Linked DNA regions of Canis lupus familiaris. The main gene of each other region encodes a partner of the protein of the gene in region 2 in a complex. Links are inferred from orthologs where the notes say so. Each region holds a gene or a part of one and is shown on either strand. Other genes may lie near its edges. The genes, in order: BRF2 and BDP1.

What was found.
Region 1: BDP1 (region 2) and BRF2 share a complex: the UniProt entries of both Homo sapiens proteins name them as parts of the TFIIIB complex. The link is inferred for Canis lupus familiaris from reciprocal best matches to the Homo sapiens genes BDP1 and BRF2.

The regions. Positions count from the first base shown.
Region 1 is NC_049237.1:28,279,596-28,284,102, forward strand, and holds the start of BRF2 (transcription factor IIIB 50 kDa subunit), read left to right. Parts: upstream 1-1,622; 5' UTR 1,623-1,719; coding exon 1,720-1,873; intron 1,874-2,560; coding exon 2,561-2,620; intron 2,621-3,089; coding exon 3,090-3,411; intron 3,412-4,237; coding exon 4,238-4,507. UniProt on the Homo sapiens protein: General activator of RNA polymerase III transcription. Factor exclusively required for RNA polymerase III transcription of genes with promoter elements upstream of the initiation sites.
Region 2 is NC_049223.1:53,887,271-53,891,675, forward strand, and holds the start of BDP1 (transcription factor TFIIIB component B'' homolog), read left to right. Parts: upstream 1-1,351; 5' UTR 1,352-1,565; coding exon 1,566-1,777; intron 1,778-4,405. UniProt on the Homo sapiens protein: General activator of RNA polymerase III transcription. Requires for transcription from all three types of polymerase III promoters. Requires for transcription of genes with internal promoter elements and with promoter elements upstream of the initiation site.

The DNA.
Region 1 (4,507 bases), on a different chromosome or scaffold from region 2:
TGAGGTAGAGCACGCTGATCCTTGGATTATAGATTAAATGCAATCTTTGCGTCAGAGATGCCCTTGTTCCCACTGTGGTCCAGAGAACTCATAGTCTCGTTAGGCATACAGGGAATCCCATGTACCTGACCACTGATTATAGCTTTTTCAAAAGAACCTATAGCCCTGTCTAATCAGATTCTTTACTTTTTGAGGCTCAAATCTTCTGAGGAATCTCCGGGTACATGGTCATTGTGTCACCTGTCTCTTCAGACTAATAAGCTTCATTTTTTATTTTGAAAATTTTTCAGTTCTAGAATGCAAAATTTACTAGTCTTCTAAGGAAGGCAGCTGTGACCCGTATCTTACTCCTCAAGGGAGTATCCCAATTTATGAAGGTCTAACAAAACATACTTACTTCTCAATTAATTCTGCATAGAGCTGTCCAATCATTTTCTGTTCTCAGTGGAAAATGCTGATCTTACCCTTCCAACCCCAATCCCCCGTATAAGGTTGAAATTGAGCCCATGACAGTTCTTAAAAACTGCTAATGCCAGGAGCCTACCTGAAATTCTCCACTGTCAGCCCGAGAAACAGACTCTCCACACAGATTTCGTGCACCTGCTGTGCTGACTCCCATCTGCCTTCTTGGAGTTTTAAGGAACAGACTTCTGGTGGTCCTTGCCATTTAACTCAACTTTCTTGTTTTTCAGACACAGCTGATTCTAAAACGTTCAAGCATTAAAAAATCTTTATTCTTGGCATGTCCTGGTGGCTCAGTGGTTGAGCGTCTGCCTTCAGCTCTAGGTGTGATCCTGGGATCAAGTCCTACAGGGAGTCTGCTTCTCCCTCTGCCTATGTCTCTGCCTCTCTCTGTGTGTCTGTCATGAATAAATAAATAAAATCTTTATTTGCTTAGAAAATACACTCTTCTGGTGACTTAATGTGTATTCAAACATAACATACATAATTTAAAATTTGTAAGCTTGGTTTGCATCACTGATTCTTTGACTTATACTATACCAACAAAGGAGCTTGGGAGCCAGACTCTTGGAATATCTGAAAACTCAGCTTTTAAAAACATCCAAGTCGGCTTGGAACCTCCAGTTTGCCCAAAGCCTCAGCACCTCATGTTCTTTCCCTCCCAATTCCCTCAGACATTCCTTGCCTTCTCTCTGAGAGCATGAGTTTGCCACTCTGAACTTTCTATAGTTGAGAAAAATAGACTGCAAAGAGGGGAAACAACATGTCTGGCACAATGTCCTCTCACTACAATATTCTTCCTTTTACGCATACTTTGTACTACGGTCCAAATCAACATTTGCTACCAAAGAGAAATAGATAATTTACGATTCCCCTAGAGTTTCAGAAAGGAGAGTTGTTTGGGAACGGCAACAATTTCTTGTCTGTGATGTGTGTCCCTGTAGGTAGAATTTCACCCACTCAACCCCCAGTCTGCTCCACTTCAATCGGACCACAGATACCACGGGACGCCAAGACGCGGTCCAGGCCAGGAACCTCTTTTTATAGCTCACGTTTCTACCCGAGCCGTCAGGGAAACGGACCGGAAGTGTGCGAGGCCTGCCGCCCGAACTACCTACGTATCCCGCGGTTGCTCTGGAGCCGGAAGAGGAAGGTGCACCGCGTAGAAGGCTTCCCTCCTAGTTCCGGTTTCTCCACCGTTGCTCTTGCAGGCGTGGGCCCGGGTGCCCGGGGGCTTCTGCGGCTCTGGGTTGTGAGATGCCGGGTGGAGGCCGCTGCCCCGACTGCGGGTCCGCTGAGCTCGTGGACGACTCGCACTACTCGCAGAGCCAGCTGGTGTGCTCAGACTGTGGCTGCGTGGTCACCGAGGGAGTCCTTACGACCACCTTCAGCGACGAAGGCAACCTCCGAGGTACCCAGGGCTGTGGGTGTGCGGGCCGCGGCGGTGGAGGGGCTGTCGTCAGATTCCGGCCTGCGGGAGGGCGGAGGCTGCCGTTCGTCTGCTTTTCTAGCACTTGGTGCGACATCTGCCATGTGTTAGGTATTATATATATTATATATACATGTACCTAATATATATATGTATTAGGTGTAACATGTATAAATGCTAGGTATAGTAAGCGTTGACCAAATGAAACAGAAACAAAGTACACTCGGTTTACCTAGTCTGGATATGACGGAAGGGTTATGGGTCAATTCTTTACAAATACAGACAAGACTATTATCCCGAAATAGTTTTTAGCACTAATTGGCAAAAACACCCCCCTTTTTTTTCTTTGTTTTCCGAGTGCCTGACCAGTTCAGCCCTCAAAATCATGACTCAGGAAAATTGCCCGGGATTGGATACACAGGAGGGAGGGCTGAGAATTTGGAGCACCTGAGGCCACTTTAGTGCCATGGTGACCTTCTCAGTCTCTGTATTTCTACTGCTTGTGGGCATAGAAGGCCAGATGGACTCTTAACGTGCAAAGTGGGGCACCTTCTGTGAGATAAGGAATGGAGCCTAATGATAGGAATTCTCCCCAGTTTTGTGTGGCGGGTGGCCAGGAGTTTGGTGAATAAAGGTTGAACAAGCTGTTTGTTGTCCGTTGCCTTACAGAAGTAACCTATTCCCGAAGCACAGGGGAAAACGAACAAGTCAGTCGCAGCCAGCAACGAGGTGAGAATCAACCTTTTATGATACAGAAAATTCTCTGGAAGGTCCAGCCCATCCTCTTGCTTTTCCTGTTTTCACTATTACTGTGTACAGTAGAGCCTAAAAGAATGGCAGTTGGAAATAAAGAATGGAGGTGGTTCTGAGAGAGTCTATGGTTCTGATTCTGTATACAGGTTGGGTGTGTCAGGGCTGTGTGACATGTAGACTCCAACATCCCAGATCACACTCCCGCGTGGCTCTGAATCAGACTGACCTCCAAAGAATGGTGGGTTGAAATGTAACTTCTTTGCACAGATTTCTTTGTGCCTTTAGAATGACCTCACCAAATGTCACTCTTGTCATTTTAGAAAGTTACATTATTTGTGCATCTGGTGTTGGAGGCAAGTTTAGCAGAAATTGCTAGGAGCTGCACAGTAGTGCCTTTGACTTTGACACCCCCCCTCCCCCCAACTCTTGCTGTGGGCTTTCTTAGGTCTCCGCAGAGTGAGAGACCTCTGTCGAGTTCTGCAGCTGCCATCAACCTTTGAGGACACAGCAGTTGCCTACTACCAGCAAGCGTACCGGCACTCTGGCATCCGTGCTGCCAGGCTGCAAAAGAAGGAAGTGTTGGTTGGCTGCTGTGTCTTAATTACCTGCCGACAGCATAACTGGCCCCTCACCATGGGAACCATCTGCGCCCTGCTGTATGCAGATTTGGAAGTGTTTTCTGGCACCTACATGCAGATAGTGAAGCTCCTGGGGCTGGATGTGCCATCCCTGTGCTTGGCGGACCTGGTGAAGACTTACTGTAGCAGGTAAGCTGCCCGCTGGCAAACTCTGGGACAGGCTGGCTCCTTAGAACCCAGTCCTTTGAGCTTTGCTGTCTCTTTTTCACCAAAGCCCATTTAAAGGAATTTGGGAGAAAAATGTAGTCTCCCTCTCTTGTGCCCAGTACTAATAAGGTTAATCCCATTTTACATTTCTAGACTGCTGTCATTTCCAAATCCCTTTGCCCTCACTGCAACCTAATGACATAAGCAAAGTAGGTGTCAGCCTTGGCAGAGGGCCACTGAGTTGTGGCTCTTGTGTTGTGCATAGCCCGCTTGGCTGTGTGCACCAGCCCTGCCTCAGCAGGATCATCTGTGAATGGAGGCAACAGGATGTTAGTCATGGGGCTGGAAGCAGAAACTAATGTCTTTTTTTTAAGTAGCTGTGGTGTTTTCTTTCTTCTGAAAAATACAGTATAAAGCAAAGGTTATCAGTGTTAAGTGGCTTTGGGTTTGCATGGTTACTTCTTAGCTGGATGAATATGGGCCAGTTTTTTTTAAACTATATGTATTTTTAGTGGGGTGTAGAGGAGATGACAGGAGAACATTTGTAAAGCGCTCAGAATGATGGCCGGTGGAGGTGCTGACAAACGTGAGCTTTCTTGTGCATTTTCCTGCCCTTCGCTGCACAAGTAGAAGACTCAGCCTGTCTTCTCTCTGCACCTCTATGAACTCCGTACCTGGCCAGCGAACTTGAGCATTCCAAGAGGAGAGAAGAGCTTGCCCACTGCGAGTGTACTCCTTTTCCTTGCTTTGGAAGAGCAGCCCTCTCCCCTGTAGGCATGGAGACCAGACTCTCATTTTCTTTTTTCAGCTTCAAACTGTTCCAAGCTTCCCCGTCTGTTCCAGCCAAATATGTGGAGGACAAAGAGAAGATGCTGTCGCGAACATTGCAGTTGGTGGAGCTGGCAGACGAGACATGGTTGGTGACCGGGCGGCACCCCTTGCCTGTCATCACCGCTGCTACCTTCCTGGCTTGGCAGTCACTGCAGCCTTCGGAGCGTCTGACCTGTTCACTTGCCCGATTTTGTAAATTGGCAAATGTGGACCTGCCCTGCCCTGCTTCCTCCCGCCTGCAGGAGCT
Region 2 (4,405 bases):
CTTTCATCCTTGTTATTTAAACTTTGAAAAGCCCTTGTCTTTCTCCTGTCTTGATGACATAGCAAGGATTAATTAATAAAGGATTAGATTCCTTTGACATTTTGTTATTAACAGGATATTCTTGTAAAATCTTGTCCTTCAAAAAAAAAAACAAAACAAAAAAAAAAAACAAAAAAAAAACTTGTCTTTCCAAGAAAGAAGTCAGACCTGTCTGTTGCAATTGCAATGAGTCAGGGGATTTATATAGCCGGCAAGAACTGGCCCATACTGTGTAAAACCGATGTCATCTATGGCCATTTTTCCTCTCCTTATAGAAACCTTCCCTAACCATCCTACTAAAGCAAGCCAGCCTTCCCTTAATCTCTGTGATACTATCCTTTACGTTTCTTTTATAGCATTTAATAAATTCTTAAGTTATCTTGTTCTTTTGTTGTACTCTTTTTCCCTCCCCAACCCAGAACGCCTTGCTTATGGCTCCACTGCCATCTCCCGAAACAGATTAGGGAATACTTATGTTAATTTACTACATAACTATATACTTTTAGCTATAATAATTTCTGAACAGGTACATTAAAAAGTAAACAAAGGTACAAAGTGAATGGTCTTCCTCCCATGACATGTTCCTCTTGGAGGAGGTCACTTACCAATTCCTTCACACCTGAATTTGTCATCTATGTTCTACTCACTTTAGAATATCTTTTTTTTCCTTTTTTTTTACGATTTTATTTATTTATTCATGAGAGAGAGAGGCAGAGACACAGGCAGAGGGAGGAGCAGGCTCCATGCAGGGGGCCCCATGAAAGACACCCCCCCCCCTCCAGGATCAGGCCCTGGGCTCAAGGCAGGTGCCCAACCGCTGAGCCCCCCAGGCGTCCCTACTCACTTTGGAGTTTCTAAGTTCTGGGGATGTGCTGGTGAACAGGCGCTACTCTGCAAGACCTTATTTTTGTAAAGTAAAAAAAAAAATTTTAAGTACTCTAACACCTCCCCGCCCCCCCCCCCCCCCAGGCGTGGGGCCTGAACTCACGACCCCCGGATCAAGAGTCCCACGCTCCTCTGGCTGAGCAGGCGGGCGCCGCCTGATTGCACCGGTCTCCTCACGGTTTGCGCCCAGCGGCTTGCAAGACTCCCTCTCTGCGCCCCCGCCAGTAACTCGCAGGGATTCCTGCGGCGGGGGTGGGACGGAGGAACGCTTCGCCGCGCAGTCCCATTTCCGGTTTGCTGGGGCCCCTGTAGCTTGACAGTTACCATGGCTCCGGGAGCCGTGCGTCTGACGTCCTTCCGCGGCGCTGGCTGATGGCGTCATCAGTTCCGGCGCCCCCCCGAGGGCGGGGAAGCGAGGTACGGCGGAGACTTAGCTCTCAGTGTGGCAGGGTCATGAAGAAGAGGCGGCGGCGGGAGGAAGGCGGCGGCGGCGGGGGTGCGAAGCTGCGGTAGCTGCCCGCGGGGCTGGTGGCGTGGCCGCGTGGAGAGGGCGTAGCTCTTAATCCCTTCCCCGGGCAGCGGCCGGGGCTCGGGGCTGAGAGCGGCCGCGGGGCCGCCTCCCCGGGCCCCCTGGCTCCGCCATGTTCCGCAGGGCACGCCTTAGCGTGAAGCCGAATGTCAGGCCTGCCGCAGGCGCCCGGGCTTCCACCGCCCCCACCGCGCACCGCAGGCCGGAGGCGCCCGGGCCCCAGGCCCCGGCGGCGGCCCCTTCCCCGAAGCCCGCGGAGTCCACGGATGTGCCGGCGGCCGCCTGCGGGGGGAGCGAGCCCCGGGCGGAGGCCCCCCGGAGCAGGTAAGCGCGCGCGGAGGGGCGCACCCCGGCGGGCCCGACCCGCGAGAGCCGACCGCAGGCTGCGCGGTGGAGGACTCCGCCGCCGGCACCCGCGCGCGGGAGGCCCTGGGAGCCCGCCGCGAGCTGCAGTGTGTGGCTCCGTCCGCAAGGCGTGGGCTGTGTGGTCGGGAGCGGCCCGCGTCCTCCGCAGCGGTGGGAGCTCCGGAGGGGACGACTTGGAAGCCCAAGGTGCCCACACGTGCTGTCGTTCATGGCACGGCTCGGGCGGCCTTCCCGTCGTTTCTCTCCCGCTGGAGTCCTCGGCGAGGAGCTGTAGTTCCTACAAATTTGAAAACACTCATTTCTCCCTAAAAGACCAGTGTGACTTCGGCTCTGCTGATTTGTGGCCGTGGAAGGGAGATGTTCCTTGCCTTTTTTTTTTTTTTTTTAAGATGTTATTTATTTTTTAGTGAGAGACAGAGAGGCAGAGGGAGAAGCAGGCTCTCTGCGGGGAGCCCGATGTGGGACTCCATCCCGGGATCCCGGGGTCACGCCCTGGGCCGAAGGCAGGTGCTCAACCGCTGGGCCACCCGGGTGTCCCAGGATATGGATTTTCACTTTTTTTAAAAAAAGATTTTATTTATTTATTCATGAGAGAGACAGAGAGAGAGAGGCAGAGACACAGAGAGAGAGGCAGAGACCCAGGCAGAGGGAGAAGCAGGCTCCATGCAGGGAGCCCGACGTGGGACTCGATCCCGGGACCTCGGGGTCACGCCCTGGGCTGAAGGCAGGTGCTCAACCAATGAGCCACCCGGGTGTCCCAGGATACGGATTTTCACTTTTTTTTTTTTTTTTTAAGATTTTATTTATTTATTCATGAGACACACAGAGAGAGAGGCAGAGACCCAGGCAGAGGGAGAAGCAGGCGCCATGCGGGGAGCCTGACACGGGACTTAGTCCTGGGTCTCCAGCATCAGGCCCTGGACTCAAGACAGTGCTAAACCGCTGAGCCACCCGGGCTGCCTCTTGTTCCTTGCTTTGGTTTGAGGGCCTGCCCCTTTAGAGTGGCCTTTCCGAAGGGAAAAAACATGTGCCAGGACCACATTTGGATTCAGGGTGTTTTTGTTTTTTCTTTATTTAACCGTTTACTAGACGTGGCCAGGCAGGATTTATTTACCTGTTAAAATGGAGATAACATTACCTGCTTTGGAGAGTTGTCGTGGAGTTTTAGGAAAAACCTGACAAGCTGTCTTGTGTAGGACCTTGCAGAATAGTTGTGTACAAAAAATTCATTGTTTAAAGTAAATGTGATGGTAGTGATTAACAAAGTAATTAAAGTTAAGACATGTTGGGCTATTAATAGCCTCTCTTTCTATAATATATACGTGAGGAGAACAATAAAACCTGACCCTATTAAATGACAATGAGATGGTGTAAATTCTCTGTATGCTCTGACAGGAAGGTGAAGATTTTATTCCTTTTTTTTTGTCCAATCTTCCTCTGTTCGCCTAAACTGGTGCTGGGTACGGGGTGTTATTTTGCTAGCTTAGTGATGCTTTAGAGATTTCCAGGTTTCTTACATGAATATTTCTTTCAAACTTCTAAAAAAGGAAATACAGGTATTAGTCATTGTTAATAAAGTTGGCAGAGATCCTGTTAATTACACATTAGTGTGTGATGATTGTAATTTAATGAATTACTGAGGTTCTGTATTCGAGACATTTGAGGTTGAGGATATTTGGTTTTTGACAGTGGGCATTTATGGAGTACTTTAGATTTTTTTTGTTGTTTAGTATGGTGTTTTGTGTGTGTGTGTGTGTGTGTGTGTGTGTGTGTGTGTGTTTGCAGTTATAAATGTAAGTGGTAAAAACAAGAATGTAAGTTTTGTCCTTAAAGTTTCAATGAAAAAAAAAAGTTTCAATGAAATTGAGTGAAATGGCACATGATGCAAGGATCAGGTTATAAAGGCTGAGATAAGAATTTAAATTGGAGATTTCTTTGGGTGCCTGGCTGGTTTAGTAGGAAGAGTATGAGACTCTTGATCTTGGGATTTTAAGTTTGGGTCCTACATTGAGTGCAGAGATTACGGGGGGGCGCGGGGGGGCTTTCAAAAAGGAAATTTCTTGGAAAGGTTATTCTATAGTTTTAGGCATTTTCCATTTTTATATAAAACTAATTATAACATGAAAAATGTAGACTGCTTTTAATTCTTATCTAATTATCTCTGACTTAATTTGCTTTCAGGCCTTTTTGTTTTCTTTTTTTTTTTTTTTTTAAAAGATTTTATTTATTCATAGAGACAGAGAGAGAGAGAGAGAGAGACAGGCAGAGGGAGAAGCAGGCTCCACGCAGGGAGCCTGATGTGGGACTCGATCCCAGGTCTCCAGGATCAGGCCCTGGGCTGAAGGCGGCGCTAAACCGCTGAGCCACCAGGGCTGCCCCCAGGCCTTTTTGTTTTCTTTTCAAAGATTTTTTTATTTATTCACGAGAGACAGAGAGGGAGAGAGGCAGAGACACAGGCAGAGGGAGAAGCAGGCTCCATGCAGGGAGCCTGATGCGAGACTCGATCCTGGGACCCCAGGGTCACGCCCTGGGCCCAAGGTAGGGGCTAAACTGCTGAGCCACCCAGAGATCCCGTTTTCAGGCCAT